3 linked regions of the Tamandua tetradactyla genome follow. The protein of the gene in region 1 purifies or fractionates together with the protein of each later gene. This does not show direct contact. Links are inferred from orthologs where the notes say so. Each region holds a gene or a part of one and is shown in the gene's direction. Other genes may lie near its edges. The genes, in order: CCT8, TLE2 and PDCL3.

Region 1 (7,415 bases):
GGGAACATTTTGGAGAAAGCTTCACAGCCACAAGAACCACAAGAGCCCATGCAGCCAGAGACCTTTGGAGATGAAGAAGAAAAATGCCCCCAGGTGTGGCTCATGAAACAAGAAACCTGGAAAGAAAGGTGGCAAAAATCGCCATTTCATGGCCTTGAAACTGTAAACTTGCAACTTAATAAATTCCCCCTTTTAAAAGCCATTCTGTTTCTGGTATATCACATTCCAGCAGCTAGCAAACTAGAGCATCTACCTTAGGAACTCATTTCTCCATCATAATCCAGAGCATCTGGAGGCACCACTGTATGGGTGGACTGAGATCAAGAACACACAACTGTAGCTGTGAACCAGGGAGCAAGAAACCAGGTTCAAGAAACAGTTCTTGCTAAAGAGTGTTGGTGGGGTTATGCAGAGAAGGTAGGGTTTAACAAATGAATATGAGTGCTGAATATTGATATTTCTTTTAGTTGCCAGTATCTTAAAGCAGCTAGAAGTGAAAACTTAAAATTGTGCAATTGTAACCCATACCAAACTCCTAAATCTGTTCTACAACTAATTGCTGCATTGTGCTTTGAAATTTATTGCTTTTTGTATATATGTTATTTTTCACAAAAAAAGTCATGAGGAAGAACAAAGGAATGTCAGTATTGCAGGGTGTTGAAAATAGATAGTCATACATAATTCAAAACTTCACCTTCTGTGTGAGACTAAAGGGAGAAATGTTTATTTGGTGCAAAATTTATATTTTGACTAGTGCATTTCCTAGTTTAACTTGTATGGTCAGTTTGATTGAACACCATAAGTACATGGAATCCTGAATAGGGCATGAGATTTTGCTGGTTTGTCTAGGTCAATGTGATGCCCCCATAAATCCCAGAGTGATTTTAAGAGTAAATGAAGTATTTGCAAAGTCCCTTGAAGGAATAGGGAGAAAGAAAGAAATATTCAACTTCCCCATTTGGAGAATTTCTAATACTATTGCAAGCAGTGGGGACAACAAATCAATAGGCCAAGGCCTCAGTCTTGGGGTTTGCCCTTATGAAACTCATCCCTGCAAAGATAGCTAAACCTACTTAAAATTAGGCCTAAGAGTCATCCCCAGAGAACCTCTTTTGTTGCTCAGATGTGGCCTCTCCCTCTAAACTGATATGGCAAGCGAACTCACTGCCCTCCCTGCCCCCCTCTACGTAGGACATGACTCCAAGAGGTGTAAACCTCCCTGGCAACATGAGACAGGAATCCTGGTATGAGCTGGGACTCAGCATCAGGGATTGAGAAAAACTTTTTGACCAAAAGAGAGAAGAGAGCAACGAGACAAAATAAAGTTTCAGTGCCTGAGAGATTTCAGAGTCAAGAGGTTATCCTGGAGGTTATTTTTATGCATTAAATAGATATCCTCTTTTTAGTTTATGGTGTATTAGAGTGCCTAGAGAGAAGTACCTGAAACTGTAGAGCTGTGTTCCAGTAGCCATGTTTCTTGAAGATGATTGTATAATGATATAGCTTTTGCAATGTGACTGTGTGATTGTGAACACCTTGTGTCTGATGCTTCTTTTATCTAGGGTGTGGACAGATGAGTAAAAAATATGGATAAAAAAAGCAAATAATTGGGGGGAAAGGTTAAAATAAATTGAGTAAATTGAAATACTAGTGGTCAATGACAGGGAGGAGTAAGGGGTATGGCATATATGAGTTTCTTATTTCTTTTGCTGGAGAGATGCAAATGTTCAAAAAAATGATCATGTTGATGAATACACCACCATGTGATGATACTGTGAGCCATTGATTGTACACCATGTATAGAATGCTTGCATGTCAAGAATGTATGTTTCTTTGTAGTGCACAATAAAAATATATATTTTTAAAAATCTAATATATATTGGGTATAGGGAAATACTAGCAGTCATTGAGAGGGAGGGGCAAGGGGTATTGTATGTATGAGTTTTTTTTCTTTTTTCTATTTATTTCTTTTTCTGAATTAATGCAAATGTTCTAAGAAATGATTTTGGTGATGAATGTACAACTATGTGATGACATTGCAAGTTACTGATTATATACCAAGAATGGAATGCTCATATGTTAAGAATGTTCTTGTTTGTATGTTGTTATGCTTAAAAAATTTTTTAATAATAATTTAAAAAATCTATTGTGATGATAAAAGAAATATTTATTCCTTCTAGACTCCATGTTCTGGAGCAGTTAGAAGAAAAAATCTGAGATGATGGTATTGTACCCCATGACAAACTCTGGAACATGTCCTGTAACTACTTGTTGAAGACTGCTTTGAAAACTTGCTTTTTTTCTTTCTTTGCTTTGCATATACATTGCATTATACAATTAAAAGGTTAAAAATAAATAAGATACAATTGCTCAGTATTCCTGAAAACCCTAAAGAGTGCCCTTGGTGCTATCTAGTTTGTATAAAAGTTTCTCTTGTTAAGTTTCTTTTTTGGGGGGAAACTTAAGGCCTCCAGATTAATCCTAGGTCAGATGGGTCCTGAAGCTTAGAGGTACCATTCTCTGCAAGAACATCAACCAGTTTCATACCCCTACCCCATAAGGTCAAAACCCATTTCCAGCATGAAGCTAAAATGGTCATTGCCCAGATATCCCTGAAGATTAAGAGAAAGATCAAATGAGAGGCAAGAGGTATAGTTTTGAAATTAGGATTTAACAAATGACTGTGATCACTGACTCATCATATAGATATTTCTTTTTAGTGCCCAGTGTGTTAGAATAGCCAGAGGAAATACCTGAAGTTGCTGAACTGTAATCTAGTAGCCCTGATCTTTAATAATGGTTATATAATTATATTGAAGGGGAAAAAAAGCCAGTTGACCATATTTGTATGGATCTACTTCTGAATATTTTGTTTTTACAATACCACACTGTCTTAGCTAACCTTACTCTGTTTAAGTCTTACAAGTGGGTAGACTGCAATACTGGTGGTCAATAAGAGAGAAGGGTACAGGGTACAGGATGTTTGGGATTTCCTTTTTCTAGAGTAATGTAAATGTTCTAAAAATGATCATGGTGAAGAATGCATAACTGTGTGATGATACTATGAGTCACTGATTGTATACTTTGATGTATTGCATGGCATGTGAATATATCTCAATACTATTACATTAAAAAAAAAACTTAAAAAAAAGAAATGGTTGCCATCTTCACAGCTGCCCTTCCACATGTGCAAAGCTGGTGAGCAACTCCTAGCATAACGCAAAAAAAAAAAAAAAAAAAAAAAAAAAAGTGCATTGTCTCATGACTTTGCTTGCCAGCAGAAATGACAAAGTAACATGAAAATGGACTTTGTCTCCCTGCCATCTTCCAACCTTTATCTGAGTATACCTAATTGGTGGACACTTATTTGTATCCAAAACCATAGCTAAAAGGGACTCTGGAAAATATATTTCAGCTCCTTCGCCTCTTAAGTGCAGGACTGCATACGGTGTGAGAGTCTACCACATTCATCAGGAGAACAATTACTCTGAATTTTACCAAAAGAAGTAATAAACATGGTTTTCATTTACCAACAATCCATTCATAAGGGTTGAAGGAAAACTCCTCTCTCAAGCCAACGGAAGATAAGACTTCATCAATCTCAAGATATGTAAGGAAGGTATCATCAATATAAAATGTCTCACCCGAATTGACTTTTCTCATCTCCATAATCTAATCAGTAGTCATGACTAGTCACAGGTAGGCATCGGAACAACTAATCCAAAATTTAAAATAAGGAACTTTCATTCAGCTCAAAAAGTCCTAACTCCCATTCAATGCACAGTTATTCTCCTTCACTGGTTGATAGTGACTGACATATCCACTCAGTACGTAGCTATTCTTATTGATATTAATTATCAGCTTCACATCCTTAGCACTTCCCACAGTCCACATGACAGAGGAGACGTTCGACTCCCGTTCTGGAAGGAAAATGGCAAGTACTATGTCTCGGGAAGAAAACGTACACCCGCCCTAATGTTGGTGACTGGATCTGGCAGATTACGTAGAAATTAAATTTAGGAGGTGCGGTTCCCAGATCACAAAAGACAAAAATCAAACATCTCCATGGAATCTCGACAGTGACATCACCAAGGAGCGAATCTCCGCCAAGCAAACCGGCTTGGACGCTTGCGCATGCGTCGACTGAAAGGCGTAAAGCGCGCCGAGCGTTGGGCCGGATCGATCGATCTAAACGAGAATCGTCTGCTTAGCTCTGGCTATGGATGCTGCTTTTGTTATCGCGAGACCTCAGAACAAGCGACGAAGGTAGATGTTAGGGGGAAGGGGCGGACTCTGCTGGAGTGGGAGGAGGAGCGTGAGGTCGTAGTACGCAGCTTTCCCAGAAGGCTGCGCGAGAGTCTTGCTTTCTCCGGGATCTGCCGAGCGAGCGCGTGTGCTGGTTCTTTGCAGGCTGGCCATGGCGCTTCACGTTCCCAAGGCCCCGGGCTTTGCCCAGATGCTCAAGGAAGGAGCGAAAGTAAGGGATGGAAGAGGGGAATGAGGTGGGAGAATCGGTGAAGTGTTGCGGCGGCCGCATCGAAGGAGAAAGGCTCACTAACGGCCTGGCATGCTCCACCGGCGCTGCGGGCGGGGAGAAGATTCCAGAAGGGGAGGTGGGCTCTGGAGGGCTCGGCCGCCGAGGCCTGCAGATATTTCCGTTATTCCCTGACGCCGGGAAGGGTAGAGATGGCAGAGGGAGCTGATGAAGGGCAAAGCTGCGGGATTCGCGCTTTACACTTCCTAGCCGAGCGAGTGTAAAGCCATTCATGCACTTTCCAGCCGCAAAAATGCGGCTGATTAGGCTCACCACCCTTTTTAAAGGTCACGTGAGGGTGAAGTCGAATAATAGAAGTGTAATTGCTTTGAAAGCCGATTCATTACGATTCTTGCAATAGTGTCACAGATTATAGGATGGGAAAGGACAAGGACGAAGCGATCCACAAGAGAGCAGAGATACAAGAACGAATTCTTGGTTGTCTCTTTCCAATTTAAAAACGGAAGACTCTCTGAAGCAGTGCATTTTTGTAGGACAGGTACTTTTTGCAGTCCAGATTGGTTCTGGTTCCGGTTTCCTTTCGCAGGCTTGCCGTAAAACTTGGTCTTGCTTTCCTTTTCACTAAATGGAAGAGATTGGATCAGAAGACGGTACATTTGAGTTCTGCCTTGTAACCCACAGAATAAGTGATACCAAGACTCAAATAAAATTATATTGTTTTATGACCAGGTCTTGATTGTAGCATCAGGAGCAGAACTTTAGAATATATATCATTGCATTACTGTCAGATTTGTGTCTCTTGAGTTGCACATAGTGGTGTTCTATCTCCATATTCCTGGGTTGAATTAAATAGATCAGTATAGTTGAAATTTTAAGGGAGGAGAAGTGTACTAACAGTATTAGGGAGCCAGGATCTTATTTGCAGGGTGCACTTTAGGAATAATTTGAATATGCTAAATAAATATGAGGCTTTAACGTAGAATTGTGGTAAGCTATCTTTACTAAAAGTTATACTGCTCTACTAAAAAAGAAAATGAGTCATGCTGAACATCCTCATACCTTCCTATTAATTTTTTCCCATTAATATCGGTTTGGAAAAATTATATATCTCAATGCATTATTTAAGAGTCATTCATATGCTAGACGTTTCCACAGAGCATTTTATGTGAGGTATTCATTCAGGCACTGAAGGGACTGTGATAAAAGACAGAAGTTCCAGGTCTTAGAGTTTATATTCTTCTGAGGCAGAAATAATGATTAAATAATTTAAAATAATGATGTGAAGGAAATAAACAGTACTGTAGTAGATAATGATAGTAACACAAATTGCCTCAAAAAAGAAAGGATTAAGGGTATGTACAATTAAATCAGGGAAGAACTCTTAGCTCAGTGCTGAGTGACAATCTGGAGGCCCAATCCAACTCTAAAAAAGTCCAAAGTAAAATAGGATTTTTGTGTTGTGAGCGATTTGGCAATTTTTTTAATGTGTGCCTATTGGAATTGTGTGGCAGTTCAACCACATTCAAAGTCTATGTATGTTAGTTCCTAAGTGTTTGGAAGCAGATACTTTAGTTTCATTTCGTTTGTAAGTGGAGATTCCTAAAGAACACAGATGTGCTATTTGCAAAGCCCAGGCTTTAATACGATATTATAGAAAAATATACCACATTTCAAGTTTTACTTAGAAAATATTAATAAATTCTGAAAAGGTGTTCTACCTGAAATACCTCATATGCCTTCTGTGATCAGTCTTACCTATGTTACCTTTTCACAACTTACGGAGGTTAAAGACCCTATGATATCTACAAAATCTGTGAATCATTTATGAATACCAAACACTGTGCTTCACATGCCTGAGTTTTGTTTGATTGTCTTAACAGTCCTGTGAGGTGAGTACTATTATTTCCCTCCTTTTGCAGATGAAGGAGTGTCAGGAAAATTGCCCAGTTACTAGCCAGAAAGCTAGAATTTGCAGTTAGCCAGTCAGACACCAGACCCCGTATGCCAAATTCCTAAGTCATACTGGTTCTGTACTATAAGATAAAAGCAAAGATATCTTGTATTTAAAAATTCTTGTGTTTCATTGTCCTTTCTTATTAAAAATGCTCTTGTATAGCATTTTTCAGGATTGGAAGAAGCGGTGTACAGAAACATACAGGCTTGCAAGGAACTTGCCCAGACCACTCGTACGGCATATGGACCAAATGGTAATCTCTAAATTCATGTTTAAAAGCTACGGTCCTAGAATTTTGTCTGCCTGCTCTTCTTTTAAACTTATTCTCTGGGTATTATGTTTAAATTGAGCTATTTTAACAATATGGTTTTTAAAGTTACTTCAGAATTCAGTGGTACCAATACAGTGTTTACAGTTTTCAGTCACCATCTCAGATCTCTTTAGAAAAATAGAAATCAAAATGTTACTTTTTTTATCCTGTTGAGAGGATAGAAAATTTATGGTACTTTCACCATTGAAATAGTACCTAATGTTCATTGTGACAAACTCTGAGTAGTCTTATTTAAAGTGACATAGTTTAAGGGATAAAGTCCTCTTTCTTCCTCTTACCACTAAGTGAATTTGATACAGGTTAATCATCATAAAACCGAACATATTTTTTTGGTCTCTGTATACATTAATACAGTTTATTTATTGAACACTTGTTGCATGTCAGGCATTTCCCAAGTGGAAAATAAGTATAATAGGGCAGAGCTTCTGTTCTCCAGGACCTTGTAATGTTGAGAAAAGGTAGTTGTTTTTTAAAAGAGAGAGAAATAAGCAAAACTGTGACAAGAATTGTCATTCCCCCAGTAGGTATTATAGGGGATCAGAAAGGAAGGACAATTACAGGCCACATGGTCATATGGCTGTGAAACAGTCTTAGTAGATAGTATGTATTGAGTTCTTACAAGGCTATATAAAGGA
Region 2 (8,034 bases), on another chromosome or scaffold:
TGATTTCCCGGCCCGGGTCGGATCAATGGGCTGTAATTATACCGCGCCGGGCTCGGAGCCGGCGGGGAGGGAGCGGGAACTGGCAGGAGGGAGGCGGCGGGCGATGTGTGTGTGTTGGGGGTGGGGGGAAGCGCGGGCGGGAGAGGGACCCACGTTACTTTGATTGACAGTCCGGGCGGCGCGGCGCGGGAGCTTCTGGGAATCGTAGTCTTTCCGAGAATCCCCGCTCCCGGCTCCTCTCCAGTCTACCCTCCGGGGAAACTGAGGCACGGAGATGAGCTCCCCGCTTCCCACCTCCAGCCCCTGGTTACAGACCAGCCCTGTGATGCCTCCCCCATCTGACCCTCTGGGGACAAAAACTTGAAGCCTCAAGGCTCCGTCCGGTGCGAGTCTCAGCTCTTCCCAGGGCGTCAAGCAAGACTCGACTTCTTTCTACCTCAGTTTCCCTTTCTGTAAAATAGGGTGCAAGGCGCATCCTCTGCCAGGAACTGGCCGGGCTTCTGCGAAGTGCACGGTGGACGAGGGACTACAGTTTTTAAGGGGGGACCCGTCAGGCCTAGCGGGTGGCCCGCTCCCCCTGGGTTTTGGATACCAATCGAGCCGAACCCCGACTCCACCCGGCAGGACTGGGGCGTCCACTAGGGTCTCAGCTTCTCCAAGGGAGGGGGAGCCTCCCTCGCCTTAGCCCGCTGAGAGCCCAGCCGCCTTCCGATTGGTCCAGCCTACCCTAGTGCCTCCTGCCATTGGCTGCCGGTTCCTTGGTCTCCCATTGGCCAGCTTCTATTGTGACGTCACGGACCCATGTGGGAGCGCCGCGGGCGGATTGGCTGGCGCGCCCAGCCAACCACCGCGGAGAAAGGAATTTCCACAGTAGCTGGGGCGGCGAACTTGATTTAAGGTGGTCTGAGCAATCCCGGTTCCTGGCGCTGCTTCTCAGCTTTTTCTTTCAAAAGAAGGAAAAAAAAAATCCACACTGTAAAAACCCAGGCAGGAGCCGGGGCGAACCCTTGCTTTGCAGCGGGAGAGGAGAGCTGGGAAGAGAAGCCTCTTCCTCCATTCTGCAGAGGGGGAAATTGAGACCCAGACAGATGGAGTGGGAAGCCCTGGATAGCGAACAAGTTAGCTGGGGGAAGTCTTCTCAGTGGAAAGAGCTCGGCGTTGCCCAGGCTTTAACTCACGCCTGCTGAGCCCTTTCCCTGCCTCCTGCTCGGGCCGGATGTGGCATTTCAGCGAGTTAGCGAGGATTAGCTGCCCAACCGCCCCCCAGCCGCTCACAGACTGCTTTCCTCTGAGCCTCACCATCCGCCCACTGTCCCCCCCCCGCCCCCCGGCCCCTCAAACTGGGGACACTGCTGCTCAGAGCAAAACGTCTGTCCTTCTAGCGGATGTACACACTAAGATAGTGTGTGTGTGTGTATTTGTGTTTGTGTGTGTGTTGGGGGTTCTCCCACAATCCGCAAATCTGTATTTACTCTGCCTATGGCGTGTGCCTGGCTGCAGAAATGCGAGACTGGTGAGTGGGAGTGGGCAGGTCCCCTCCTCCAGGAAGCCTTCTCTGACTTGTCGAACAGAGCTCCCCCTGCTCCCTGCTCTGTGGATCCCTAAGTCCCAAGAGTAGAAGTGTTCAGCTCTGTCTCCTCTCCCCACCCACCATGGGAGCCCCCCAAGGGCAAGGTCTGGATCTTTTTTGGGACTCCCAGTAGCTTCCAGCTTAGGGAAGTGGCTACCGAATAAATACCCATTTATCTACCTACATCAGACTTTTTGTGTTCAATGTCCTGGGGGCAGGATAGGAGATACCTTTTGGGGCTGGGTCTCAAGAGAAAATGGACTTCCTCCAGGCAGCAGAGGAGGTACAGGGGATTCCCAGCAGAGATAAGCACAAAAGCAAAAGCTCAAAAGGTGAGAAAGTAGGAAAATAGGCAGATCAGGTCTTTTGGTCAGTGCCCCTGGAGCAGGGGAGGGGTGTGTGATCAAGCACATATAGGTGAAACTGGGCAGGGTGGGTGGTGCAGGGTATCCCATACTAGCTTGAGGAGTTGGGAATTTGTCCTAAGGGCAATAGGGAGCCATGGGAGGGTTTTAAGTGGGAGGGACAGATTTAGGGAAAGCCACAGGAGGGGAGGCTGCTCAGAGGGAGAAGGTAGCTAATGGTCCAGTCCGGAGAGGAAGAAGGCCTGGTCCCTGGAAAGGGTGGGGGGGGGGGGTAGGGGAAGCTCGGGGATGGGAGGCTGGGTTGCACAGCAGACAAGGAGAGAGGGTGAGCTAGGCAGATGTTTAGGTGACTGATTTGGGGGATCAGGGTGAACTGTGGGACTTGACAGGGTGAGGACCCGGTCTGGGGGAAGATGCTGGGTCTGAAAGCCCAGTCAATGTCCAGGAGATATGCCCAGTTGGAAGCTGGACGTGCAGGGCTGGGTCTCAGGGGAGGGTCCCGGAATGGGCCCAGAGTTTGGAGCATCCTCGAGAAGCTGGACGTGGTGGCACCGAGCCTGGCCAGGAGACCCATCTTAGGAGGGGAAGGCAGCCGCCAAGTCAAGAGAGAATCAGAAGAGGAGAGGCTGCTCTGAGAAGGGCTGGGAGACAAGGGCCAAGTTTAGGAGCTTCGAGTTTGAGAAGCTCAGAGGATTTGGGCAAGAGAAGGCTCAGGAGAAGGTGGGAGTGCATGAGGAGCAGATGGGGGGGCCTGGGGGCAGGTGTGTGTGTGTGTGTGTGTGTGTGTGTGTGTGTGTGTGACTATTTGAAGTTGTGGTCTAAGGAGGGGAAATCTGGGAGAGGCAAGACACCTTCTGGAAAGAGTTTAGAGTCAGGACTTTGTAGACCCTGAGAATCTGGAGTCAGGAACTGCTGGCCCTGTGGAATTGGGGAACCTGGTATTTCTTAGAATTCCCACTAATTTCTGGCTTTAGCCCCGTCAGCTGTTTCTTCTGGTCAGTCACCTCCCCGGACTACCTGTCCATTTATTGAGCACTTACTGTATACCAGGCCCCACAGGGACCAAGAACAGGAGCTTAGGGAGGGAGCCAAAAACAAATAAAGCAACCTATGGCTAAACATGATTATGTGAAACAAACGAAGACACCTCTGATAGGAGCTAGAAGGGGAGGGAGTAGGGCAAGACTCATCTTTGGGAATTACAGAAGAGGACATGTGACACTGCTTAAATGGGGATGGGGGTCAGGAGGGGGCTTCCTGAAGGGGGGATATTTGAGCTGAGAACTGAGTGATGAGAAGGAAGAGAAAAGGGTATTAGGCAGAGAACACAGCCTGTGCAAAGGCCCTGAGGCTACTCTGGACTGGGCGTGTTGGAAAACAGGATGCCCTCATGGCTGAAGCAGAGGGAGCAAATGGTAGGGCAGGAGGAGGGGAGGGTGGGTAGTTGAGGGGTGTGGAGGGGACTTGAGCAGGGTCTGGTAGGTAGGAGGGACTTGGATTTTATTTATTTATTGTTTTTTGTTCGTTTGTTTTTGGATTTTATTTTAATGGCAATAGGGAGCCATTGACTATTCCCTGTAACACACACACATCCTCATAACTTCCATGGCAGCCCATCTTCACCCTTCAAGTTTCAGCTCAAAGGTTAACCTCCTCAGAGAGGCCTCTCCTAGATAAATAGCCCCTTTTGTGAGTCTCTATCACTGCTCCCTAAATTATTCCTCTGCATATGCAAAAAAGTCCACCAGGACATAACTCGGGTCTTGCTCCGTCTGCCCTTGAGGGGCTTTTGTGCCAGTTCACTTACTCATTTCTCCACAGTGGATGGGCCACTGACACAGGACAAGGGTTTGTCAAGTTTGGTCCTCTGCTGTCCCCAAGAGCCTACAGCAGTGTTTGTTGATTGACTTAACAAATGACCCCCCCCCCCCCCCCCCCGAGGTCTCTCATCTGCAAAGTTGAAAGCAAGAACCTTCCATCTCCCAGTGTGTATGAGGGAAGCTCTCCTGAATGTTTGTGATGGGAGGTGGGAGAAGGAGCCCCTGCCTTTACCGAAGACCTCAGTCTGCTGGCAGAAATGCCGTTTTCCATAGCCTGAAAGGGAAGACAGCCCAGTCTGCTGGCAGAGGCAGTCGGAACCCTACCTTCCATCTCTGGCAGTTTACTCCGCTTCAGGCCAAACTCCGGACTGTTCCTGTATCACCTGCTTCATAAATAGCTCCCCACCCCCCTACCCCACCCCACCCCTTTTACAGATGAAGATCCTGTGTCGCCAAGAGTGAGCAAGGACTTGGCCCAAGCCAGTACGTGGTGGAGTTCCGTCTCATCTGGGGCGGGGTGGGGGTGGGGGTAGGGGGGGTGGATTGTTTGCCTCTACAGTTGTTTGCCCGGTGGTCTCACCCCCCCACCCCCACCCCAACACTTCTTCCTCATTCTTCAGTCCTACCGAAATTTTCTGGCCCCAAACTGCCACCCACCCCTAAACTACTTACCACACTGAGCAATTAATTGCATGTGTATTTGTTGCCTTGCTTCCCTCCCCCGTCACCCCCCACCCCTGTCTTCCCATTTCTCTCTTGGGCCTACCCCCCCCACCCCGGGGAGGGTATGCAGGACTGGACGCGAGCCTCAGTTTACCTGCCCGTCAAAGGGAGTGTGTGTGTGTGGGGTGTGCGATTCCCGGAGCGCCACAGCCTGGGGCGGGGTTGGGGTGGGGAGCAGGGGCCCCAGGGCCCTGGCGCGGAGGGCTTGGGGCTGTGGGGGGGGCGGGCCAGGGGGGCGGGGTGGGGGTGGGGGTGGGGGCGGCGGCGCCACCTTAAGGCGGCTCTGCCCGCGGCTCCCGGCCGAGCCGGGCCGGAGGGAGGCGGCTCCGCGCGGGGCCCGTCGCCCGCACAGCCGCCGCCACCACCGCCGCCGCCACCGAAACCCGGCCGCGGCCCGACCTTCTGCGCCGGCTGCCGCGGCCGCCCGCGCCCCAGTCCCCGCCCCGGGCCGCCGCCACCGCTTCCCCGGCCACCCCAGCGCGCGCCCGGGTCGGGGGAGGAGGCTCCGGCGCCCCCCGCGCTCCTTCCCCGCGTCCCCCTCGCGCGCTCGGGGGGCGCCGAGGACTCCGGGGTCCCCCCCCTTCTTCTTCTTCTTCTTTCTTCGGGCAATTTCCCTTCCGGCTTCTCCACCTCCCCCCCCATACCCCCACCCCTACGCCTCGGGGCTCCCCCCTACCTCCCCGATATTGTCAAGCTCCGGCAGCGTGGGGGGCCCTCTCGGATCGGCAGGATGTACCCCCAAGGCAGGCACCCGGTGAGTGGGGACCCCGGGCGGCGGGGATGAGGGGCCCCCAGGGGCGTCCGGACACTCAGACCTGGACGTTCTCCACCACCACCCCCCGCACCCCCACCTCCCGCACCCCAGACCCCGCTGCAGTCGAGCCAGCCCTTCAAGTTTTCGATCTTGGAGATTTGCGACCGGATCAAAGAGGAATTCCAGTTCCTTCAGGCTCAGTACCACAGGTGTGGGGGGGGGCGCCCCAAGGGTCGCGAGCGCGCACCTGGGAACCCCGGGGCGCGCGGAGGGGCGGGGCGGGGCGCGGCGGGGGCGGGGCCCCCTGGGGGGCGACGGGAAGGAGTCCAGGTGGAAACGCAGGTGACGGAGGTGTCAGGGAGGGGGGACAGTCACTGCTGGGGAGGGAGCGGACAAAAGCCAGCAATTTGGAAAAGAGGCCAGATGGGGTCTGGGGGGGGCTCCTGCTGGGGGTGGGGTGGGGCAAGAGCAAGCGGGACCCCCATGCCCCTTTTTCCTCCCCAGTCTCAAGCTAGAGTGTGAGAAGCTGGCCAGCGAGAAGACGGAAATGCAGAGACATTATGTCATGGTGAGGGGGGTGTATGGTGCCAGGGTTGGGTGGGGGGGGGGGACGGGGACTGGCTGTGGGTGAAAATCTTCCGGTTTATATCTTGACCCCCCTACACACCCCTACCTCGGGCCCAGGCTGCTCCTCTCTGGCCTCATTTCCCCAAACTGTAAATTGGGCTCGGAAAGTCTTCCTAGCTCCCCGGAACAAGGAGAGAAGGATGCCCCCCATTTCTCTGCATGTCCATCTCTGAGGGGACATGGTGTCTGGGCGCATCCTACCTGCCCCCCCTGCTCGGGGAGAGTGGAGGGCACTGTCTCTCCAATGGGAGCCCTTACTTCCTCCTCTGGCTCCCTTCCTGCCACCCCTTGGGGCTGAGAGGTTCAGTGTCCCTCTCTGACTCCCCCAGTCTGGGGGCCCCTGGAAGACCCCAGCCCAGGATATATATTGACATCCTGGTCTTTCCCAATTTGGTTTTTTCTTTGCAGTACTACGAGATGTCGTATGGGCTCAACATTGAGATGCATAAACAGGTAGGGTTTCGCCGGGAGGGTGGGGGTGTGGAAACTGCAGGAGGGACCCAGGCAGCCCCAGCAGAGACTGCTGAACTGCTAGGTGAGGGACGTACTAGAGGTGACTTCTGTCCTGGCGGACGACCAGGGAAGATAGGTTTGGAGACCTGAGATTCTGAAGTTGGGTATCCTGCGGGTCTGAGATGGCCCACATTCAGGGTTCACTGTTTTGAATGTTCTGAGATTGATGCCAGTGGAATTGGCCAGAAGGTTCTGAGACTAACCCAAGGCTCTGAACTTGATGCCATTATTTAGACTGACTACGACTCCAGGACTTTTCTGTGACTATTCTCAGGGTTTTGAGACGAACCCCAATGGAATGAGGTTCTGAGACTCTTCCCGAGCTTCTGGGTGTCATCTAAAGGTTCTCAGCCAGACATGAAGGTTTTATGAGTGTCCTCGAGGTTCTGAGTTTGACCCCCGTGTCCTGAGAGCGGTCACAGAGTGTCTGAGTGTGGTCTCAATGTTCTGAGATAGATCTGAAGGTTCGGTGACTGTCCTCAAGGCTCTGAGGTTGACTTCAGTGGTAGGGTGTGAGGGACACGGTTCTGAGACTCCTGCCAAGCTCCTGAGTGCAGTCTTGAGGTTCTGAGATTGACCCTTATGTCCTGAGATAGACTCAGGGACTGAGCTCAAGGTTCTTTGATGGTTTCTAAGGTGATCCTATTGGACCCAAGGTTCTGATGTTGATGGGTCCTTAGATTCTGTCCATTGGCATATTAGAATCAATGGTCAGAGCCAAAGTTTGGGACTTCCAGGTGAAGGATAACAAGAGGTAGATGTCCGGGATCAGGGAATGCCTGCCCTGGTATGTTTTCTTGGGTCTACTGGTTTGATCCAGGTGGAAGGGGGCTTGTCTGCCTGGAGCACGGTGTGGTCATGTGGGTGCATGGACTAGACCCCTTTTATGGGGTGGAGGGCATGGGGCAGGGACCAGGCTTCTCTCCGTCCAGCTGCCATCCTCCCCATCCTGGTACTGCCCCCCTGCAGGGGCGCAGGGGCATAGGATAGCAGAGGTGGGGGCTGACCGATTGTGTTCCTCCCTCCGGCCTCCGGCCAGCACAGTTCCTGGGGCTTTGAGGTCTGGCCAGACACCCCCATGGCTGATATGGGGCCTGACCACACATACAGGTACACACATGGACACATAATCCAGACACATGTGCCAGAAACACACGGCGGACTTATACATGGAAGATATACCACCCTCCAGCCAAGTGCACACACACACACGCACACACACACCAGATTTGTCCAAAGCAGCCTGAGAGGTCAAACTCAGACACAGACCCCACATGGCACATGGCCAGCAGATGCAAAACACATGTCGGGGGGGGGGGGGAGCATACACATGGCAATGCCACGTGCTCCTCCTTCCTTCCCCACCCAGGCAGCTTCTCTCCAGCCTCCTTGAGGGACCCCCAGCTCAGACTCTGTCTGAGATGAAAAGACCTCCTGTTTGTTTCTTGCCTTGAGGTGGGACCCAGGCATGGCTGCCTCAAACCACTGCCCTCCACTCCACCCCCAGATGGGTAGATTGGCCCCAGGTTGCAGAGGAGACCCAGAGAAGGGCCTGCCCAGATGGGACCTGGGGCTCGGGCCCTCTCCCTTGGTTTATGAACTACCGGGGGCTGCCTGGGCCCATGAGTCCATCTCCAGCCACTTCAGGATCTGAGTTTTCGC
Region 3 (8,085 bases), on another chromosome or scaffold:
GGAGTATATTTAGAGAGAGACATTTATGTAATGTGCGGTTACTTCTATGTATAGTTGGTGCTGATGGTCCAAGGGTGGGAATGACTTCCAGGAATAACTCCTGCGACCGCTCACCCAGCATGACAGGAAGTTGCAGGCCGGAGAACATACGGTGATGTGAATGAAATCCACGGAGCTCCCTCCCTGACTCGACACATCTGCATAGTTCTAGAAGAGACGGGCTTTGACATGTGGAGCCAGAGGTCATCTATGGTATCAGATAGCCAGTCAGAAGATTAATTAATGAAAACTATGCTGTTTTTCTGGATTTTGCCATGTTTGTGGTATTTGTCAGGTTTTTAAAATGGGTGATTTGTAATTATTTCTTTTTAATTCTAAGAATTCATTTTTATGCCTTGTGGTAGTTAGATTCAGTTGTCAACTTGGCCAGGTGAAGGCACCTAGTTCTGTTGCTGTGGACATGAGCCAATGGTATGTGAGCCTCATCTGTTGCTGATTACATCTGCAGTCGGCTAGGAGGCGTGCCTGCTGCAATGAAAGATGATTGACTTAATTGGCTGGTGCTTAAATGAGAGACTCAACGTAGCACAGCCCAAGCAGCTCATCATACTTCATCTCAGTACTCGCAGCTCAGCCCAGCCTTTGGAGATGCAGAAGGGAATCACCCAGGGGAAAGTTGTTGGAACCCAGAGGCCTGGAGAGAAGGTCAGCAGAGATTGCCCTGAGCCTTCCCATGTAAGAAAGAGCCTCAGATGAAAGGTAGCTGCCTTTCCTCCGAAGAACTAATGAAATAAATCCCTTTTATTAAAAGCCAATCCGTCTCTGGTGTGTTGCATTCCGGCAGCTAGCAAACTAGAACAGGCCTAATTTTATACTCGTGCATTTGTATTTTTTCTTAAAGAGGCCTCCAAGCCTGCACGTGCCTCAGTCCAACACCCCTGTGTCTACCCCTAAGCAGAGGCTTGTGGGAGGGTTTTCACTCCTGTCCTTTTCCTGCCACCTCTGCCCTCTCCCCCCAAGAGTCCATAGCGTCCATTAATTTCCAGTTTCTTCCCTCTATGATTCTATTGGCAGAATTAAGCAAAAATGACTTTACACAAGGAGAAAGTTGTATTTTAAAATCTTTCCTTTACCCAAAGGTATCCTGTTGTGCCTATTATTTCTATGTAAAAAAAATTAGGTTGTCAAATTCATCATACTTTCAATTTATTTATCCTGGATTTTGAGTAATAGTCACCGAAGGCTTTCTTCATTTTTAGTTTATAAAGAAATTTTCTCTTGTTTTCTACTAGTATTTTTATACTTTCCATTTTTATTATATACCCTGTGAAGTATGTATCCAATTTTATCTCTTCTCAGATGGGTCTCCAGTCTTCCCCACACCTTTTACTACAAACATTGCCCCCTGCCCCAGAGCACAGAGAGCACGGAGCATGCACTAATGTTTATATGTATTTGGCTCTATATCTGGACTTATCTAGAACACGTTATGCTGCTTAATCTATTCGTACGTTAATACCACATTGTTTAATATCTGGTAGGGCTAGCTCTCCACCTTCACCTTTGCTCCTCTTGTTTATTTTCCCATAAAAACTCTGGAATCAAGGTTAATTAGAGGCATAAGAATTAGAAAACAGACAAGAGGTTTAGCCTCAGAAAATAATTTGCTGGTGTTCTAGTTTGCTAGCTGCCAGAATGCAACATACCAGAAATGGATTGGCTTTTAATAAAAGGGGATTTATTTTGTTAGTTCTTCAGAGGAAAGGCAGCTAACTTTCAACTGAGGTTCTTTCTTACATGTGAAGGCACAGGATGGTCTCTGCTGGCCTTCTCTCCAGGTCTCTGGGTTCCAACAACTATCCCCAGGGTGATTTCTTTCTGCATCTCCAAAGACCTCGGCTGAGCTGTGAGTGCTGAGATGAGGTATGCTGAGCTGCTTGGGCTGTGCTGTGTTGAGCTCTCTCATTTAAGCACCAGCCAATTAAGTCAAACATCATTCATTGCAGCAGGCATGCCTCCTAGCCGACTGCAGGTGTAATCAGCAACAGATGAGGTTCAAGTACCATTGGCTCATGTCCACAGCAACAGAACTAGGTGCCTTCACCTGGTCAAGTTGACAACTGAATCTAACTACCACAGCTGGGTTTTAACATTTAGATCATGTTAAATTTTACATATGAAATTGGGGAAACTTGACTTCTCTAGGCTGTTGAGTCATCCTATCCAAAAATAAGAGATGCTTTTCAATATACCCAAGTCCAATTTGTATCTTCAGGTATGTCCTATAATTGTTCTCATGCAGGTTTTCTGAGCACTTAAGTTTACTCCTAAGTACTTTTTCTTTTCTGTTGTTATTTAATTGGAGTCCAATATATCTTCTAGCTTGTTACTGTAAGTATACGTCAATGAAGGCTATTTTCTGTATGCTAATTTTATATCCTTCTCCTAGACTGAGTTCTCATATTGCTGGTATGAGTTAAAGCTTTGATTTTCCTGAGTTTTCCAGATATGCTAACACATCAGATAGAAATAGAAATAGTTCTGCCTTTTCTTTTCCAATCCTGATGCCTCTGATTGTTCCTCCTGAGCCCTAACTATCTTCTGCAGAACCAAGAGTGATGGAAGGTTGGAAAGGTCTTTGGGGAAGAGAGGGGCAGTAAGAGGGACTGGGATCTGGAGCCAGGGGGACGGAACAAGACTTGGACAGAAGAGGGGTGCCACCTTTCCTGCTAACAGGAGAGAGAAACAGAGTATAGCATCTGGCTTATAATGGGTGGCAGGAATGGGTCTTGTGGTGAAGAGACAACTGCAGACAGGGCATGTCTTGGGAAATGGCCAAGGCTGGGATGAGGGAACAACATGGCAGCACCTGGCTGTGAAGGTCCGAGACAGAGCAAGGCATGGGGCCAAACCCACCCCAGACAAGTCCAGTCCTGATTTCTGCATGAAAATTCAATCACGAATGCTGCCAAGTAAATTAATAAACACACTTAAAGACCTGCAACTTTGTGGGAAGGAGTTAGATAAATTTTTAGGCTCCTTATAAATCATTATTCATTCTACATCAACGGTTGTACTCATTAACATCACCCAAGGACCTGTAAGAAAATATCAAGTCTGGGGGCATCTCCAGGGATTAAATTCGTCTGGGGATGGAGACCTGGAACATCTGAAGTGTAAGGCTTCCAGGCAGCCAAGGTTTGCAGCCCTGAGCCTCCCCCACAGGTGCGTGGTTCTCTATTACCTGTGCCTGCTTCATTGCCAGGAGATGGCAAGTTAGCTCAGATGTCCTTACTAGGGCTGAATATTCCTCTATTAATTCAGCCTCAAGAATGATGGGGCTGTGGAGGCCCTGGAGCATAGAACTTGAATTTTGCAAGTCAGACTGCAGATTTGTACTCCGTGCCTCCTGGGTGCTGGCTGAGGGCTAAGTACTTGTGCATATATATAAGTGTCCCCTGAGGTTAATCAGGTGAGAGGAATTTCACCTGTTTTCGTTTTTGTAAACAATTTTTTTATTATTAGAGGGGTTGTAGGTTTACAGAAAAATCATATAGAAAATACAGACCCCCACATTACCCTCCTTAAGACTTTGCATCAGTGTGGTACCTTTGCTACAATTAAAAGAATATTAATATACGTGTACTATAAGTTTACATTAAGGCTCACTGTTTGGGTTGTACAGGCATTTTATTTATTCTAATAACATACATGCAACCTAAAATTTCCCCTTTTAACCACATTCAAATATACAATTCAGTGCTATAATCACATGCCCAGTGCTGTGTTACCATCGACACCAAACCCTTCCATCACCCTAAGCATAATTTCTGTACAAATTAAGCATTGACTCTCTTCCCTATTCCAACTTGATTCCTGCTAACCTGTACTCTAATTTCTGACTCTATGAATTTGCTTATTCTGATGACTTCATATCTGTGAACTCATACAGTATTTATCCTGCTGTGTCTGGCTTATTTCACTCAACATGCCTTGAAGGCTCATTCCTGTTTTCTTATGTATGAGGACTTCATTTCCTTTTACAGCTGAGTAATATTCCATTGTGCATATAAACCATGCTTTGTTCACCCATCCACCTACTGACAGACACATGGGTTGGTTCTATCTTTTGGCAATTGTGAATAATGCTGCTATGAACATCAGGGTGCAAATATCTACTCATGCCCCTGCTTTCAATCCTTTTGGGTATATATCTAAAAGGAGTATTGCCAGGTCATATGGTTTCTATATTTAACACTGTGAGGAGTCACCAAACTGTTCTCCACAGCACATGGACGACTTTACAGTCCCACCAACACTGAACAAGTATTCCCGTTTCTCCATGTCCTCTCCAATACTTTTTATTTTTTTAATAGTAGCCACTCTAAACAATGTGAAATGGTATCTCATTGCGGTTTTGATTTGCATGTCCCTAGCAGCTAATGGAATTGAGCATCTTTTCATGTTTCACCTTCAGAGAAATGTTTATGCAAAGTCTTTTGCACACTTTTAAATTGGGTTGTCTTTCTGTTGTTGCGCCACCTTACTGTTTTTTACAATTTGCTCACTCCTGTATCTTCAAGAGCTTAAACTAGTGCCTGAGACATAGTAGGTGCTCAATAAACATTTGTCTAATGAATGAATTGCCTTATCCCACGAGGCAATGATAGAGAGTGGATTCCCGTATCATTATTAATTGTAACATCTGACCACTGACACGCATTCCCACTTTGATATCTTAAAGCAGGCTTCCCACTGTGGAGCAGAGACCCCCTTACAGATTCGGACGCCTCCGAACACCTCCTCCTTTCACTCTACCACGTCTCACGTGAGACACGCCCCGAGAAGGAAGTTTCCAGGATTGGGTTCCGACCTTGTGAACTGCCGACCCGACAGACACCAGACCCGGCCCATACCGCGCATGCGCACCGCTTCTGCGCCGGCATACCTAAGCTGTCGGCGCAGACGCAGAAACCTCGGCATCACCCTGGCCCCGCCCAGCTCGCCCCCGGGGGGCGGGCGAATGCCGGGCCGGGGGAAGGGGCGGGGCGCGCGTGCGCGGACGAGAACCGAGGGGAGAGGGCTCCACGGCCGGCCTAACCTGAGGGACTTGCGGCAAGATGCAGGTGGGTGAGGTGGCGGGCGCGGGGCCTGGAGGCTGTGGTCGCCTGTTGGTTGGCTGAATCCCCACGGCGGCGGACGGTCCTGGCCCGGCCTACGGAAAGCGCAGGGGGCCACGGGCCGCTGAGGGGCCGCGCGCAGGCGTGTTGCGAGCGGGCGGGCGTGGTCCCTCCGCCCTCGGCTGCCCCCGCGCGCGGCGCTCGCGGTCCAAGGCTCGCCCCTCGGGGGCTGCCCCTGCGCGGGCGGGTGCCGCGGACCCAGGGCGCGGCTGAGGCTGACTGGAATTGGAGACGGGGAGACGCGGAGGCGCCGCCGGAGTCGCGGGGCGCGAGTTCGTGCCCCTGTTGAGCGCTGGTCTGCTTTTGGGTCCCCCCGTCCAACCCGGGGGGCCCTGCCCAGTGCCGTCTTCCGCCCGGAAGCGGATAAGACCCACATCCCCTAGTTTTGCCCCTTTTACCACATCAGGAATGTGGCTCATACCGAAGGGAAGAGGAAAGAAAATGCGTATAAACTCCGTGGGGATGACGCCTGCAGGAGCAGACGTCTGTGGCGACTGAATTTTGGTCTCCGCTCGCCCAGTATGGCCTCGTGGCTGTTGAGGACGCTGCCCCGAAGGTCATTTCGCTGCCTCCCAGATCTCACTTTGTCAAGAATTCTGGTTAAATAGCCCTGGGGTTGGGAAATGCCGGTAGTGGGGGTTGGCTTGGGGTGGGGGGCGGTGGGCGTGGGGGCTGGCGAGGTTCCAACTCAGGCACAGATAGGCCGTGTCTGCCACGCGCACACACACTATTACATGTTGAAGAAGAAGCTCGAGGGCTGCCCTGGCCTCCTTTGCGAAGGTGGCTCCTTTCCGTTCTCTGACCTTTAGGTCCTTGTTCAAAAATGTCACCTCTTCAGAGGCCTTCCCTGACCACTCTGTTGAACGGATTCTCCTTTCGTTCTTCTTTCGCTGTCTCTCAGGAAGCCAGTAACGCAGCTGAGGACGGCACTGGTTACCCCAGTGCCCATTCTCCAGGGTTCCTTGTTGGTTTTCTATCCCGTACCAAGTCTGAGCTCTTTTAGCCATGTTTCTACAAAGCCATGCCAAACCATCGCCTGGGTTGCTGGGCTCTCCATTGAAGAGCCCACCGCGATGTTTATCCTTCTGAGATTTGATCTGGGTAAATTGACCTGCCTTCTCTGTTGAATGAGCACTCTAGGTCTTTAATAGAAATGCTTGGCAGAAGCAAGGTTCGAGACTTGACATCAGCATCAATGCCAGTCCGCACATCACATCCTGATTTTTACCCCAAGACTAGCTGTGCTGTGGGTGGAGGGGGAGAGAGAGTGCAGGAGAGGAGCAGAGGGAAAGAACAGAGCAGGGGCTGTGAGTCATTTGACCCTTTCTCAGCAGTAGACCTCAGGATTATTTGGTTTGAGTTCCTCTCTTCCTACTGCCTTTCCAGTTTGACCCCATGCCCAGTAGACTGCCCTCCATGCTCTACTTCATCTTCACGGCGTCCTGGGCCCTCCCCACTGGACTCTGCACTCACGGTGTGCTTGACCCTCCTGTTCTAGGACCCCAGTGCGGACACCGAGTGGAATGACATCTTACGCAAAAAGGGCATCTTGCCCTCAAAGGAAAGTGTGAAAGAATCGGAAAAGGAGGCAGAGGAGGAAGGACGAGTCCTTCAGCAGTCAGTTGGTGAGCTCACGTGTTTTCTTTATTTGTTCCCTGTCGATCTAGCTTAGGAAAAAAACTTTCAAAATGTAACTGCTGTGATAGAAAGTTTCATTGAGAAAGAGAGTGCTGGCACAGACACTGTGTGACGTCAGGCAAGTCACAGGAGGTCTCTAACCTTCACCATCCCGGGTTGTAGAATTAGGGGGGCTTCCAAGGCTTCTTTCACTTCCATTGCTGCTTGTTTGGGTCAGATGAGCACATGATAGTCCCAAAGAAAGTATTTCTGAATCTAACTTTCTAGCCTATGATTCACTTTGGTAATGTCACAGAAATTTTTTCAAAAGAAGTTTTTTTGCTTTTGTTTTCCTCTGAGGTTATACTTTACTATCTTTGTGGTTTGATGGAGGATATTAAATTAAAATAGATTAATTTGGAGAGGCATAAGATGTTTGCAATATATGGGGTCTAAAAGAGGTTTACTCAAAGATGGCCATAACACCTGCATTGGACTCCCTTTGGGTGCTTTTTAAAAATATTGCCAATTCCCTGTAAGTTAGACTCTCTGGGGGTGAGGCACGGGAATGTGTATTTAAACAAGAGCCTCAAATGATTTCTGTTGCGTGGCAAAGTTTGAGAACCACTGATCACAACAGCTGGTACTTTTGCCCCCTATTTACATGTTAGAGCTAATTTATTGAAGAATTTCTTGTAATGCACTTTTCTAGTAAGTGTTTATTGAAAGATTACTGTGTGTCAGCTGCTGTTTTAGGCAATAGGGATTTAGCTGTGTACAAGCCAGACAAAATCCCTGCCTGGAAATTTATATTCTAGTAGGGGAAATAGACAATAAACAATATAAGTAAGTAAAATAGGGAAATGGGGCAAGGAAGGGGCTAGAAAGGATTGGAGAAAAGGTGGGAACAGTTCTAGACAGGCCAGAGTGGGCCTGCCTGGGAAGCTGACATTTAAGTAAAGAGCTAAAAGAGAAAGTTGGTGGAGATGACGTTTGAGTAAGGAGCTGAAGGAGGCCTTTGAAAAGACTTGAGAGAGGTGGGACAAGCTACTTCAGTAAGTGAAAAGTGGGCCTGGCATATTGGAGAATCTGTCAGGAGAACCCAGTGGGACTGGGAGAGAGTTGTAGAAAAGAGTTCAGAGAGGAAGCTAGAGGCCAGATGATTTAGGACATGTAGGGCTTTTACCCCTAATGAGGCAAGAAGTCGTTGGAGGGTTTGAACAGTGGATGGATGTGTCCTCCATTTTGGCAACTCCATTGTTTTACTGCCTTGTTGACAGTAGATGTA

What was found.
Region 2: the proteins of CCT8 (region 1) and TLE2 purify together in Homo sapiens (affinity purification with mass spectrometry; 3 studies listed by BioGRID and IntAct, with this or other methods). This does not show direct contact. The link is inferred for Tamandua tetradactyla from reciprocal best matches to the Homo sapiens genes CCT8 and TLE2.
Region 3: the proteins of CCT8 (region 1) and PDCL3 purify together in Homo sapiens (affinity purification with mass spectrometry; 3 studies listed by BioGRID and IntAct, with this or other methods). This does not show direct contact. The link is inferred for Tamandua tetradactyla from reciprocal best matches to the Homo sapiens genes CCT8 and PDCL3.

Annotation. Positions count from the first base shown.
Region 1 is NC_135336.1:88,345,217-88,352,631, reverse strand, and holds the start of CCT8 (T-complex protein 1 subunit theta), read left to right. Parts: upstream 1-4,316; 5' UTR 4,317-4,417; coding exon 4,418-4,477; intron 4,478-6,611; coding exon 6,612-6,702; intron 6,703-7,415. UniProt on the Homo sapiens protein: Component of the chaperonin-containing T-complex (TRiC), a molecular chaperone complex that assists the folding of actin, tubulin and other proteins upon ATP hydrolysis.
Region 2 is NC_135337.1:79,384,258-79,392,291, forward strand, and holds the start of TLE2 (transducin-like enhancer protein 2), read left to right. Parts: upstream 1-4,937; 5' UTR 4,938-5,208; coding exon 5,209-5,232; intron 5,233-5,343; coding exon 5,344-5,441; intron 5,442-5,736; coding exon 5,737-5,800; intron 5,801-6,267; coding exon 6,268-6,312; intron 6,313-8,034.
Region 3 is NC_135343.1:6,153,321-6,161,405, forward strand, and holds the start of PDCL3 (phosducin-like protein 3), read left to right. Parts: upstream 1-4,994; 5' UTR 4,995-5,120; coding exon 5,121-5,126; intron 5,127-6,678; coding exon 6,679-6,805; intron 6,806-8,085. UniProt on the Homo sapiens protein: Acts as a chaperone for the angiogenic VEGF receptor KDR/VEGFR2, increasing its abundance by inhibiting its ubiquitination and degradation.